Rattus norvegicus: one gene and its partner. The protein of the gene in region 1 purifies or fractionates together with the protein of each later gene. This does not show direct contact. Links are inferred from orthologs where the notes say so. Each region holds a gene or a part of one and is shown on either strand. Other genes may lie near its edges. The genes, in order: Edem1 and Canx.

Region 1 (6,795 bases):
TGAGAAAGAAGGCCTTCGTTACCCTGCCGTGTGCCCACAGCCGCTTTCTGGATCAAAGGCACTCTTAGCAGTTTTAGTTTCTCATGAGTGTTTCCTTTTATGGGTTTTTTTTTTTTTTTTTTTTTTTTTTTTTTTTTGGTTTCACTTTAAATGAAAATGCCTTTGTTTAGTTTTAATTCTTTCTTTTTCAGTTCAAATCTGAACATCAACGATGTACTAGGAAATTACTCTCTGACCCTGGTTGATGCCTTGGATACACTCGCAGTAAGTGTTCAGCCTTTTCTTCCTTAATTAAGATAATTAAGGTAAAGTGTTTGGGGGCCTACTGTATTTCTTCATTTCCCCAAGGAGTGGGAATTCCAGGAAATGCTGTACTCAGAAGGCTTTGATGAGTGTTATTTATTTTAATGACCTTTCTGGGAAGGCAAGAGAGCATGGAAGGTTAAGTGAGGGGACATGTGGCTCTCCTTTAAAGGTAGAGAAGAAATGTATGGCTAGATTTTAAAAAGCGTTTCTTTTCCCTTGCCATGCTAGTTATTGACTTGGAGGAGGGATCCTGTCAGATGACCTGATATTTCTTCACTGCTCAAACTATGACAAACAGTGAAACCTTATATATCCTGGAAGGCTGAACAGTCAGGTCACAGGCTGCATTAACTACTTTCCTGTTGTTGTGCTGAAACACCAGGGTGAAGAGCCAGTTGAAGGAGAGAGAGTTTCTTTAGGCTTAACGGTTCTGCAGGGTAGGCCTCAGTGCTGGGAAAAGCATGGCTGGATCAGGAAGCTGGATGATCATTCATGTTTTCCTCCACAGGCTGCACCTCCTAGAGGTTCCAAAAGGTCCCCAAATAGCACCAGCTACTGGGGAACAAGTGTTCCAATACTCGAGCCTATGAGGGATGTCTCATTCAAACTACTGTGTGTGTGTGTGTGTGTGTGTGTGTGTGTGTGTGTGTGTGTGTGTGGGTGCGCGCGCGCGCACCTTCTAGCCTGTATGTCTTTCTCCCAGAAATCAGGTCACACTTTCCAGTCACCTTTTCCCTCTGGGACAGAGCTCATATAAAAAGGATACTGTGCCTCTCAGTGGCTTCTTCTCATGTAGCTAGCTATAAGATAAGTTTATGCTCCTCCTAAGTGCCCATCGCTGTGCCCTTGGTACATAGATCAGACTAAGCTAAACTATGAAGTATGAAGCCTGCCCCAAACCCTAAGAGCCTTTAAGAATCAGAACTTCTATTTGTTTTCTGGAACTATGAGTCCAGTCTCTCCTTTTGGGACCCTGTCTCTCCTAACTGCTCTCTCTTTTTAAATGGCCTTAGCTGGAAGGCTCTCTCCTAAGGGTTCATTCTGAAGGGTAATATTCTGTTAGCCTTTTTTTAGGGACCTACTATTTTTCTTTTTAACTTGTAACACAGGGCTTCAAGAGCAAAACCCAGAAGCTTTCAAGAGAAGCTATCCTAAATGGCTTCTAGTTCCTGGCTCCTCAGGGGTGTCTGTGCAGGGTGCCTTCCCGTGCATGCAGCCCTCTCTGTGGACACCAGTTATTTCCTGCTTCTTGGTGTTGGCCGTTGTTTACCCAGCTGCATCCCGCTTTTACACCTCTCATCCCTTGGCGTCCCTCATTGATCCTTGGAAGCTGGAGATCTTGAAACATAAAGGCAAGGCATGTTCTGAAGGCGCTCAGTGTACTGGACGTGTCAGGCTGTTCAGTGCTTAATGCATAGCACCACAGAGCATGCTTTCCAGGGGACATTGCCAGTGTTCTGCAATCTCCTTAGTAACTTTACAAACTCTTGCCTGTTCTCTCTGAGTCATCTTTACTATTAGAAAGCTATTAAATCCTGCATCAAGTCCTGTATTCAGTAATTTATCTGATTCCTTTAAATGTCACCAAGACATGTCTAAAGCTGTCAGGTAGGAGTTGGAATTCGTTAAGGGAGCTAAGTTCACACCGTGACTCTCTTGTGTCTTGCTAGTAGTAGAGTTGCAGGACTCGGAGAGAGCTGGAGGTGATGTTGTCTACCTTCATTTTATGGATAGCAGAAAGAGGAGGGGGCCCTGGTTCTAATAGGGCTGCTGGGTTTCCTTCTAGGCTCTAGTCACAGAGAACTTTCAGTCTCCCAGTATTTCCTTCTGAAGTGATTGCTGCTCCATTAAGTCTCCATCATCCCTTCTCAGAATGTGCCCAGACAAGTAAGTGCAGTGTGATTAGTGCTACCGCGCTGGAGCTGCGAGAGGCTGACTCAGCCTGCTGTTGGGAAAGGAGAGTCAGAAGGTGCATGTGTGGCTTCAGAAAGCTCACCCTCGAGGGCACTCCTGTTCATCCCATCTTGTCTCTCTACCCCGTTGCTTGCTAAGGACAGAGATGCCGTCATTACTGTTTGTTGTGCTACTCCACACTTGACAGGAAGTGCTACTTAGTAGGATTGGAGATTTTTGTTTAAGTGAATATTTATAATCCAATTTTGTCCAATATCTATTCTAAGGGTGCACCTCTTGAATAGTAAAGTTCTTAAGCAAACCAGAGGAATTCTGACTTTTAGAGATCCGCATCATACAACAGCATTTTATTTATTTAATTTTTGCGTTGAGGTAAAGAAGTTATTTAATTTAAACAAATTAAGAGCATTTATTTAGTGCCTATGTGTGTGTGCTCATGATACAGCATGTCAGTGGAGGTTATAGGACAGCTTGGAGCTTGTAGGACTTAGTTCTCTCCTACCATTTGGGTTCCAGGGATCAAACTCAAGTTGTCAAACTTGGTATCAGGAGCCATCTTCCTGGCCCTGTTTATTTAATTTTTGAGACAGGGTCTCAACAGTAAGGTTCAGGATGGCCTTAAACTTGGAGTAATCTTCTTGCCTCAGCCTTGCAAATGATGTGCTTGTTTGTTTATGTTGGTGGACTTGGAAATTAATCCCAGGACTTTGCACACATGAGGCAAGTATTTTGTTCTTTTAGTCAAAGTCTCCAACTGGTGACCATCTTTATGCCTCAGCCTCCGGAGTGCTGGAATTAGGGATAGAGCTGAACGTCAGCATTTTCAAGGCTCTGAGAAGTTCCTCCTCTATCCGGTCAGTCTTTCTCAGGCCCATGCAATTCTGTGCCCTGGTTACTTTGTGCTCACTGGCTGTCTAATGTGTATAATTTGGTGTGCCTAGATTTCATCACCTTCCCCATTTTGTTCTGAGATCATATTTGCAGGTGCACCAAATACTGTTCTTGGAGAACATCTGTGAGGAAACAGACCTATTTCTGTGGTTTTTCAGAGTAGAGTAGCTGGTCTTGAACATGTTAGTGTGTTGGCTCACTTCTCATGAGGTCCTTAGGTTGAAGTTTTTCTCTTTTGTTAGCATTTTCAACAGATGTTTGCAGATAAGCTGCACGAATGCCCAGGGGAAAAGAGTCTCCAGACCATTGCATACAGTCGGAACGAGATTGCATGATCTTTTAAAAAGGAAAACTGAGAACAGAAAGCCTGTGTCTGCTCTACACCCTAGCAAATAATATGATTTGAGAAACATATTGATCAGTATTGTAAGAGATAAGACACACCCCAAAGAAGGAGTGTTTGAAGAATCATTTCTCCTTGATGTTATTATCTATTTCTCCACTTGTTTATTGGTGTCTATGTTTATGACCATAGGCAAAAATGGTTTTAAAATATGGGTGAAATCAAATTATTTCTATGTAGGTCAAACTGAGTATTTTGTGACGGTTTTGCCCTTTAAGAAGGGAGTAGGACACTGGGGTATTATATCTACACATGTCGCATAGTAACCTTAACTTTAAATTGGAAGTAGAACATATTTTGATTTTATACATTAAATATTTATTTTTCAGTACATGTGTATATATGTTTGTGTGTGAGGGCAAGCATGTGCCACAACATTTGTGTGGAGATCAGAGGGCAAACTGCTGTCTCTTTACATGGGTTCAGGGATCTGCACTCAGGTCATAGGTCAGTCAGGCTTGCATGGCAAGTGCTTCTACCCACCAAACCATTTCCCAATTTCATGCTGTTTTGGTAGTACCGTTTCTCAAAACCCTCACACATCTGGATGGAAAGCACGGTTGATTAGTTTTTCAGATGTCTTGGATTTATTTACAAAGCAGAGATAGAGTCACATTTTAATTTTCTGGCTTATTTTCTCCTATTCCATGATGTTTTAGAAACTGCCTTGTAAATCAAGGTCAGCTCAGAGCTTGGAGGAGAAGGGAGTGGGGAGACCAGACACCCCAGGGCTGGTTCTGTGTTGTTCACACAGTTGTGCCACTTGGAGCTTGGACCCTTGAGTGAGTGGTAAGAGACAGGCTTGCTGTCTGTCCTGGAGTAGAATGTGAGAAATGACTTGTGGCTTCCATTCCCACTGTGGCAAAGCCATAGGCAGTACAGACACACAGGTGCAGCGGCCGGCTGCCATTTCAGTGCCAGTTTCAAGCTGCTCTAATGTTTTGTGTTCCTCTGTTTAAAGATAATGGGAAATTCATCCGAGTTCCAGAAAGCAGTCAAGTTAGTGATCAACACCGTTTCATTTGACAAAGATTCCACCGTCCAAGTCTTTGAGGCCACGATAAGGTAACGTAGCACAGGAAATGGGTTGAAGACTTCTGGTGTATGGGTGAGGGGTGTGTGTGATTCCCGAGGGTTATTTCTTCCAGGGTCTGCATGTATGGACTCCACGTCTATTATTTATGCTCATTGTAGTTTAGTATCTATGGAAACTTGTAGTTTTGATGTGTGCATGTCATCGAGGTTTGAACTGCACAGAAACACTCATTATAGGGTCCATAAAGGAGGGTGCCCCTCAGATGCACTTCCACTGACTCCATTCATGTCCTTTCTGATTTCCTCGTTTACTGTCTCCACAGCCCTCATTCATGTTTTTAATGGAGTTCTGCATCTCTCCACTCACAAGAAACACTGCTTGCTCTTTTGATGTCTTTTCCTCCTGTATGGTTTTCACTTATCACTCACTCTTTGCTAAATATGGTGGACTCAGCCTATACCCAGTTTTGTGCCTGGGTTTCTCTAGGGTGAAAAGTTGACCCTTTCAATGTTTAAATAAAATTATATTGCTACGCAACAATCCAGATCCAGATTTGAACCTTGAAATTGAAGTTATGAAATTATTTATTCTAAAACAAGGAAAAGAAATCATTTGTTTGAAAAATCTTGCAGTCCTTTTTAGACAGTTTCGATGGGACATTTATGTATCTACAAGGCCATAAATCAGAGGGAAGCCTTCTGTTTCTCAGGATCTCCCACTTTTTCATTTCCCTCCTCAGATTGTCTCACCACACATGGGCGTGGTTCTTCAGTCTCCCTGTAGACAGTCAGACCTGCAGAAGAGTCATGGTTCCTTTTCTTAATGCCCTAAGATCAAGAAATTCATGCTTTAGGCAGAATCCTCAGTTGTCTTGAATAGATGATTCCCCTTCTTTTTGTTAGCAATGCAGTGAGCTGAAGATCAGTTACTTAGAGCCAGAGAGGACTATAGGAATCCTATATAGGATTCCTATATAGGAATCTGAATCAGGTCCTGCTGCTCCAGGCAGCTTAGGTCCTGAAAAGTAGAGTCATCTTTTGTCTTTGTAAACTGGATTCTGTACTATCATCATCATCATCATCACCATCATCATCATCACCACCACCACCACCACCACCATCATCATCATCATTTTTATTTTCTTGCTATTAGGGTTCTGGGAAGCCTCCTTTCTGCTCATAGAATAATAACTGACTCCAAACAGCCCTTTGGTGACATGACAATTGAGGATTATGATAACGAATTGTTGTACATGGCCCATGACCTGGCTGTGCGGCTTCTTCCAGCTTTTGAAAACACCAAGACAGGGATCCCCTATCCTCGGGTAAGTGACTGGTTTGTTCCGTTGTTTTGCTGGTTTTTGAGAAATGGCCTTGTGCCATGTAGCCCAGGCTGGCCTTGAACTGTGGTTTTCTTGCCTCAGCCTTCCAGGTGTTAGCATTGCAGGCATGAGTTACCAGACCTGGCCGCCTTGTTCCTTTGTGGTTCACAGTTCACTGTGTTCTTGAATTAAGACTCCTATAAAAGGGATGGGTCTGATTATAAGAACCAAGCAGTGTCCTTGGAGAAGATTTGGTCATCTTTTAGAAATCTGCATTTGGTGTTCTGCCTGAATGTCTGTGCGAGGTAACTGAGTGACAGATGGTTGTGAGCCACCATGTGGTTGCTGGGATTTGAACTCAGGACCTCTGGAAGAACAGCCAGTGCTCTTAACTGCTGAGCCATCTCTCCAGCCCCATAATATCAATTTTTAAAATTTTGAGCGTTTACTGAGTACCTTCTGTGTGCTAAACATACGGTAATAGAGCAGTTAGCCTTTCACCTTGAAGAACCATGCGTCCTCTTGTGTGGTTTGCATTTTCTCTTATGAGACAGTATGGAGAATGTTTCTTCATTTCTGTCTGACTTGGATATACTTCCCAAAGATCTTCATGTATTGGAAGAGCTCAGTGAATGTTCATTTAAATGCTTCGCATGCCTGTAAGTGAAGCCTGCAGAACCAGCCAATTAGATGCTGGAGTGAGATTGTATATTTGTGGCATCTGATTTAGCAAGCCAAATAACTCCTTTGGGAATTGTGTTAGCCTTCTCTGTAAGCAGGGAGAAGTGCTAGACCACAGGACCTCCATGACGAAACTGGCTGTCATCCTGTGGCTCAGCTTCTGCTCCTTTCCCGTCCAACAGTTGTTTGCGTTTGCTGAGAAGGAGTGCTTTAGACACTCCTTCAAGTTTAGAAGCCATTTAT
Region 2 (7,289 bases), on another chromosome or scaffold:
ACTACCTGGCCAGTGTGCTCTAGCGTCTCAGTTGTCTCCAGCCCCGAGCACTGAATGCTGACAATCTGAACTCAGGTCTTAATAACAGGGTAAGGGCTGGAGAGATGGCTCAGCAGTTAAGAGCACCGACTGCTCTTCCAGAGGATCTGAGTTCAATTCCCAGCAACTAGATTACATGGTGGCTCACAACCATCTGTAATGAGATCTGGTGCCGTCTTCTGGCCTGCAGTCACATGTGCAGGCAGAATGCTGTACATAAAATAAATAAATCTTTAAAAAAAAATTAACAGGGTAGACACGTCACCATCTCATTTGACATAGTCTCTTAAAAAAACTTTTGGTCTTAAAAAACTTAGGTCGTGGCAAGGAATACTTTAGGTGGCCTAAAAAACCCATATAAATTCTAGGGGTTTCTATTACTATTTTATATATTCTGCCCAATATGTTTATAAACACATGTTCAAATCACAATTCCTGGTTAGCTACTCAATAATGTGGGTCAACTGCTAATCTCTGGGCCTGGATTTCTTCTCTAAACCAATACTAACTTCTACTGTAGAATTGCTGACTAGGTTAAACGTATCTCAAGTGCTTATGAGGAAGTCTGTTTTAGTGACAGTTACTAGATATTGCTAATATTTCTACTTGTTGATTTTTAATGAATTTTAAAGCAAGTACTCTAAACTTTATTTGGGGGAAAATATAAGCACCTAGTTGTATTTATTACTTATGTGGAAGTCAGAGGGTGACTTCCAGGAGTCAGTGTCTTCTTTCCACCAAGTAGCACCCAGCAATGGCACCCATCAGGCCTGGTAGCAAATATCCTGACCCTCTTACCATTTTTCCACTATTTGTGTATGTTTGCCTTCAGATTTTACTACTGCTTACACCTTGTCAAAATTTAAAATATGGGCTAGAGAGATGACTCAGATATTAAAGGTGCTTACCGCCCTTGCAGAGGACCTGATACCCACAGTAAGTGGCTTACACAATCACCCATAACTCCACTCTCGGGGATTCTGCACTCATGTGTGTATATACACATAGAAACACACGATTAAAAAAATATATATACAACTTTTTAAAAAAGGCCAGAGAGGGGTCTGAAGGGATGGCTCAGTGGTTAAGAGCACTGACTGCTCTTCCAATGCCGAGTTCAATTCCCAGCAACCACATGGTGGCTCACAACCATCTGTAATGAGATCTGGTGCCTCTTGTGACCTGCAGGCATACATAAATAAATCTTTAGAAAAAAAAGGATAAAAAAATAAAAAATAAAAAAAAAAAAAGGCCAGAGAGAAGGCATAGAGGGGAAAGGTACTTGTCAAGAAGCCTAAATGCTGGGGCTGGGGATTTAGCTCAGTGGTAGAGCGCTTGCCTAGGAAGGCCCTGGGTTCGGTCCCCAGCTCCGAAAAAAAGAACAAAAAGAAGCCTAAATGCCACAGCACAAGCACACACAAACAAAAAACAAAACATCTTGTGAGAATTATAACATTTAATAGGGAAAAATACAGCTGTAAATGCTCATCTATTAAATAATAAAAAATATGCATGATTACACACTCCTGTAGTCCCTGAATTTGGATGATTAAGTGAACCCAGAAATTCAAGATTACCTTGGCAGTCAGGAGATACAGCTGAGTAGTAGACTAAGTTCAAGGCTCTAGATTCCATCCTTAGCATTTGGGGGTGGGGTGGAGTGGGAGTGGGAGGAGGGAGACACCTGGGAAACAGTGTGATCTGTGATCCGCTCTATCAATGAGATCTGTAATACCTTACTCACAGGTCAGATTTCGGGTTTTTGCTTTCATGTGCTGGGAGTAAAGCCCTTGGTCTCAAACTTGCTAAGCAAGCGTTATACCCACCTTCTTGGATCTCTTTTCATTAACAGAAACATAGAAATAATCTGTTTCTTGAGACAGGGTTTCTCTGTACAGTCTTGGATGTCCTGGAACTCACTCTGTAGACTAGGCTGGTCTTGAACTCAGAGAGAAATCTATCCTCATGCAGAGATCAAAGGTGAGCCACTACCACACCATCCATCTACTAAATTTTTTTAATTAACTTTTTTCATATTAATTCACTTTAAGATGTGAATACCCAGGATGGAGAGGTGGTTCAGTTCCCAGATGGGCAGCTTATGACAGTCTGTAATTCCAACACCAGGGAATATAATGCCCTTTTCTGGCCTCCACGGGCACCCATGAATATATTGTATATAATTATACCTATATACACATAAAAATGTTTTTAAATATATCTTTTATAAGATTAAAAAATATATATATACAACTTTTTAAAAAAGGCCAGAGAGGGGTCTGAAGGGATGGCTCAGTGGTTAAGAGCACTGACTGCTCTTCCAGAGGCCGAGTTCAATTCCCAGCAACCACATGGTGGCTCACAACCATCTGTAATGAGATCTGGTGCCTCTTGTGACCTGCAGGCATACATAAATAAATCTTTAGAAAAAAAAAGGATAAAAAAATAAAAAATTAAAAAAAGGCCAGAGGGAAGATGTGATTTCATGCACATAAGTATACTGTCCTCAGACACACCAGAAGAGAGCATTGGATCCCATTAGAGATGACTGTGAGCCACCATGTGGTTGCTGGGAATTGAACTCAGGACCTCTGGAAGAGCAGCCAGTGCTCCCAACTGCTGAGCATCTCTCCCGACCTAAATAAATCTTAACGAGATTTTTAAAAAGACATTAATACCACAATATGAAAATTTTCTAGATTCTTTAAAAAAGGAAATTTTTCAGAGCTGAAGACATAGCTCTGGTTAAAAGCACTGGCTGCTCTTCCAGAGGACCCAGGTTTGATCCCCAGCACCAACATGATGGTTCACACACATTGGTACACATACATACATGCAGGCAAAACACGCATACACCAAAAATTAGATAAATAAGCCTAAAAATTCTTACCTAGCACTTGTAGCAATAACAAAGCATTTAATAAGCATGTTCCTAATGAGTTTTACAGTAAGTTATACAGACTACAACTATCTTTGGTTGGCACTTTACTTCTTAGGACTTTTTATGAGCTGCCAATTCTATTTGCCCATTTCCTTATACTTTCCAAAGCAGTTTCTTAGTAGCTGCCCCCTCAAAGGTAAAGCAAGTAGGAGACTCATTCCCATTTATAAAGGACAGGAAGCAAAGCTACTATGCTGGACACTGTATTCTGCAGTTATGCTTACCAACTGCCACTCTACTCCCTTCAAGTTCTCTGGCAGGGCAAGTGACCTCTCCAGGACATGGATGCAAGGTGTGTTGTCAAGATGCACGTGCCTTGTGGCCCTTGAAAGATTACAGAGCTAATTGCACTGTTAAGATAGCAAGGCGGAGACACCCATTTTTCAGACAGCTCAGTAAACTCCTATTGTGGATAGTTCACTTCTATAAACAGTTCTTCAGGGCCTGGCTCACTTGTGTACCCTGCCTGGCCTGTAAGCTTAATTACAGCTCAAGTACAAAATGAGAATCGATTCCGTTCGTGTCCTTTCAAATGGTACTAGAAAATATACTAAGATTTTTCAGATAACCCAATTATTTCTCCCTTTAAAAAGGGGGAGGATTATTTAAAAAACAGGCAGAATCTTCCATTTCCTCAGGGTAAAGAAACCGTAGCTCATCTCTGTCAAGCATTTAATATTCAGTTCGGTTTAACTTCACACAACCAGCAATCACTAATGTCATGACCAGCAGTTAATATACAAGGTGTCATTAATGTGCCCTCAGGACTTAACATAAAAATTAGTATATCAGTGTAATGACCAAAGCATTCACTCCGACTACAAGAAGCCAGTGCAATTACTACTCCTTGAACCTTTACTATACATCCAATTTCTCATTCCCATTACCTTTTAATACAAGACCAGCCATTCTGTCTACTCCTAGGGGACTGAGCCATAAAGTAGAAAATCTCCCAAATCCCACTTCCCCCGATAAACTGCAGTTAGGAGCTTGCACCAGGACTTTTAACCTTAACTAAGAAACCCAAACTGTCTAGTCCTCAGTTACAATCCGAACTGGATTAGAACTACCTGTATGACCTTGGGCCAGTCATTTCAAACTTCTAGGCCTCAGTTTCCTACACTCACTAACTGAACTTTCGCTTGTATTTCCTGCTTTTAAGGTCCAGTGAATACCCTCACTGGATCACTATCTATCATCACCGAATAGGCAGGTGCTTTAATAGTTAAGCCTTAAGTTTCTCAAGCGGTACACGTTCTAGTACATTCTACTCCCTCATCGGGGTGCTATGGTCCAGACTTCGCTTTGGACATATTATTTTCTAATATTGAAACTGTAACGCTTATCTCTATGGATTTACTTCACCTTTCCCTACTATTTGGGCTACCTACTAGGCCTAATTCTAATACTACACCTATACCGGATTACTCAGTCCACCTCTGGGTGGGCCAGGACAGGGCCTAAGAAAACTCTAGAACCAAAGCCATAGGAAGTAGTTAGCTTTCTCAGAGGTCAAGGGAAACCCCAGGACACCTGCCACGCCTCCCGACCCCGGCGGCGCTGCCCAGACCAGTCTCTCTAACCCTGCCGCTCTCCTCATTGCTCTGAGCGTCCGCCCGGGCCTGCGCCACTCGAATGCCCGCCGGACCCTCAGCCGTCGAGATTCCTGCCACGCCCGACCCCCTCCGCCGCGCCGCCGCTCACCCAGACTCGTCCCAGGCCTGAGGTCCCCGCACACGCTTCCCGTCTCACCTCGAGCCTCCCGGGGACCACTGGCGGCTCCCTCACCTTCTCCCACCCGCACACCGGGCCCCGTGCTGCAGTGGAGACAGCGGCAGAGGCGGCCCGACCGTCACGTGCCGCAGAACTAAGAGGCCTCGGCTACCGCCGCCGCGCGAGCGAGCCCCACCGCACGAAGCCCAACCCCGCGTCCGCCCCTCGTTCCTGAGTGGCTACAACAAACGTCAACTCCCGTCCCTTTGCGCAAGATCTGAGAATCTATTGGTAGATACGGCCATCGCTCAAAGCTCTTTCCCATACGCCCCCTAGGGCTATTCTTCGTGGAGCGTGATGATTGGACAAGAGTGAGGCAGGAAGTGGTTGCTGATTGGGTATGAGGAAAGAAGGCGGCCGTCACCAAACGGGCGGGTGCGCGGGCCGGAGGGCGGGCGGATTTGGCGTGCGTCCTCGCGTGGGTCGACCTGGTTCCTCAGGGCCGGTGTGTTGGTGGCCATCCAAAAGACACCTTTTCCCACCCATTGAGTTAGAAACCCTGTTCCAATCCTGTCTGGGACCTATGCCCTTCATCAGAAATGGTGAGAGGTCAGGCCAGTGTGCTTATGCAGCGAATGAGATCCCTCTGGGCAGCAGACACTGTCTTGCGGAGTCATCGCCCTGAACCTGGGACCTTTTTACCTAACAAAACACTATCTAGAGTCACAATCATGCAACATGAACTCACCTTCCCATGTTCCCGTGCTGTTTCAGGCGTTAAAATCAGACATACTCTAGCGACAGGGTGATGCCATGTGCAGATTTAAAATAGCCATTTCGTAACCCACTCCTTTTTCAATATGGTGAAAACGCTGTAAGATTGAAGTGGCTATGGATTTGGCTATGTCTTTGAAAATCCTGATCGCTCCTGGTTGTGTTTGGTGACCCAAAGCTTTGACTACTGGAGAAAGAAACAGATTTTTATCATCTATGTAACTACATATGAAACCAGCTTTGTTCCTGCTACCCCAAGAGAAAGGCAGTTAAGGATTTGATGTTTAGGTCAATTTAGTAACCGCCAATTCTCCCTAATTTTAAAGAAGAAAATCCCTTTCCTTATTTGCCTTATAAAGAGCATGTTTAAAAAAAATGAAGCCAGGTTGGCACATGCTTTAGTCCCAGTTCTTAGGTATTTAGGAGGCTAAGGCAGAAGAATCCCCTTAAGGATCTGGATAGAGAGAGCTCAGTGATCAAGAGCACTTGCTCTTCCAGAGAACTCAGGTTCAGTTCCCATCACTCACAACTGCCTGTAATTCCAGTTCCAGGGGATTTTATGCTGCCTCGAATCCAATGACAGCGGACATTACATAAGTACACATAATTTATACACACACACACACACACACACACACACGCGCGCGCGCGCGTAAGTACACATAATTTACACACACACACACACACGCGCGCGCGCGCGCGCGCGCGCGTGTGTGTGTGTGTGTGTGTGTGTGTGTGTGTGTGTGTGTGTGTGTGTATTTAAATTTGTTTAGGATGGGTGTTCTGGCTTGTGTTACCCAAGATGGCATTGAATTTAAGAGAACAAAAAAAAAATCCTGCAGAGAGGTGTTAAAATATGTCAGTACTGAAGGAGTAGAGGAGTTGAGGCAGAACTTTTCTAAGAAAGAGAAAGAGGTGAGACTTGGCCTGAACCTCATAGATATGCAAATTTTCTGTAGGTGGAGTTGGAAAGAAGTTCTTAAGATGAGAAAACTCTACAGAAAAGCAAGAAAGCGGCTCTCGGGTGTTTGGGAGATCTATATACAAAAAACGTTTTGAGGGCCATGGGGACGACTCAGCAGGTAAGGACACTTGCCACCAAGCCTGACGACCTGAATTTGATTCCCAGAACTCAACATGGTAGAAGAAGAGAATTGAGATGTACTCTGATCTCTACACAAATTCACATACACACAATAATAAATGTGAAATTCTAATAAAAATGAGAACATGATGGCCCCAAACTGTACAGTCCACTAACAGACTGGGAACCTCAGTTTTCTGACCCTTTCATGGTGTGTCATTATAGAATATTAGTTTCCTTTGAGATTCAGTTTGTCCAATAGCTTAAGGAAGTTAGTAAATATATACCTTCAAGTCAATTAGTGTTAACCTGAGTAGACCTTAGGGATTGATAAACCTTATTCATCCAACACATGTTGTTATTTATCTAAAATTTTCTAGAAGCTTAGTGTTGAACAGTCAGCAAAGATATAAGTGATTAGACATAAATCTCTAAGTCTTAACTCTTTCTCCCCCGACCCTTCCACTGAAACCACTTCCAATATCTTCCTCCTCAATCTCTTTTACTTGATTAGATCCTATTGCAAGCAATAGCACTCATGTTTCCACACAATTTTGTCTCACTGGCTACACTAGTATTGGTCATTTCTCTCTACACACACTAATTGGACACTGTCAAATTAATTGGTTGAAAATAAAGCTTATTTTGTCACAGATACTTTAAATATTTTGCATTGACCACATAGATTTCTTTTAGTTGCTTGTTCATGAAACTTCCTCAATTTTCTTTTTTTAAGGT

Evidence for each region.
Region 2: the proteins of Edem1 (region 1) and Canx purify together in Homo sapiens (affinity purification with western blotting; 6 studies listed by BioGRID and IntAct, with this or other methods). This does not show direct contact. The link is inferred for Rattus norvegicus from reciprocal best matches to the Homo sapiens genes EDEM1 and CANX.

Annotation. Positions count from the first base shown.
Region 1 is NC_086022.1:143,362,398-143,369,192, forward strand, and holds part of Edem1 (ER degradation-enhancing alpha-mannosidase-like protein 1), read left to right. Parts: intron 1-191; coding exon 192-264; intron 265-4,475; coding exon 4,476-4,579; intron 4,580-5,702; coding exon 5,703-5,874; intron 5,875-6,795. UniProt on the Homo sapiens protein: Extracts misfolded glycoproteins, but not glycoproteins undergoing productive folding, from the calnexin cycle.
Region 2 is NC_086028.1:35,153,030-35,160,318, forward strand, and holds the start of Canx (calnexin precursor), read right to left. Parts: upstream 4,829-7,289; 5' UTR 4,733-4,828; exon of another isoform or gene 4,685-4,732; intron 1-4,684. UniProt on the Homo sapiens protein: Calcium-binding protein that interacts with newly synthesized monoglucosylated glycoproteins in the endoplasmic reticulum. It may act in assisting protein assembly and/or in the retention within the ER of unassembled protein subunits.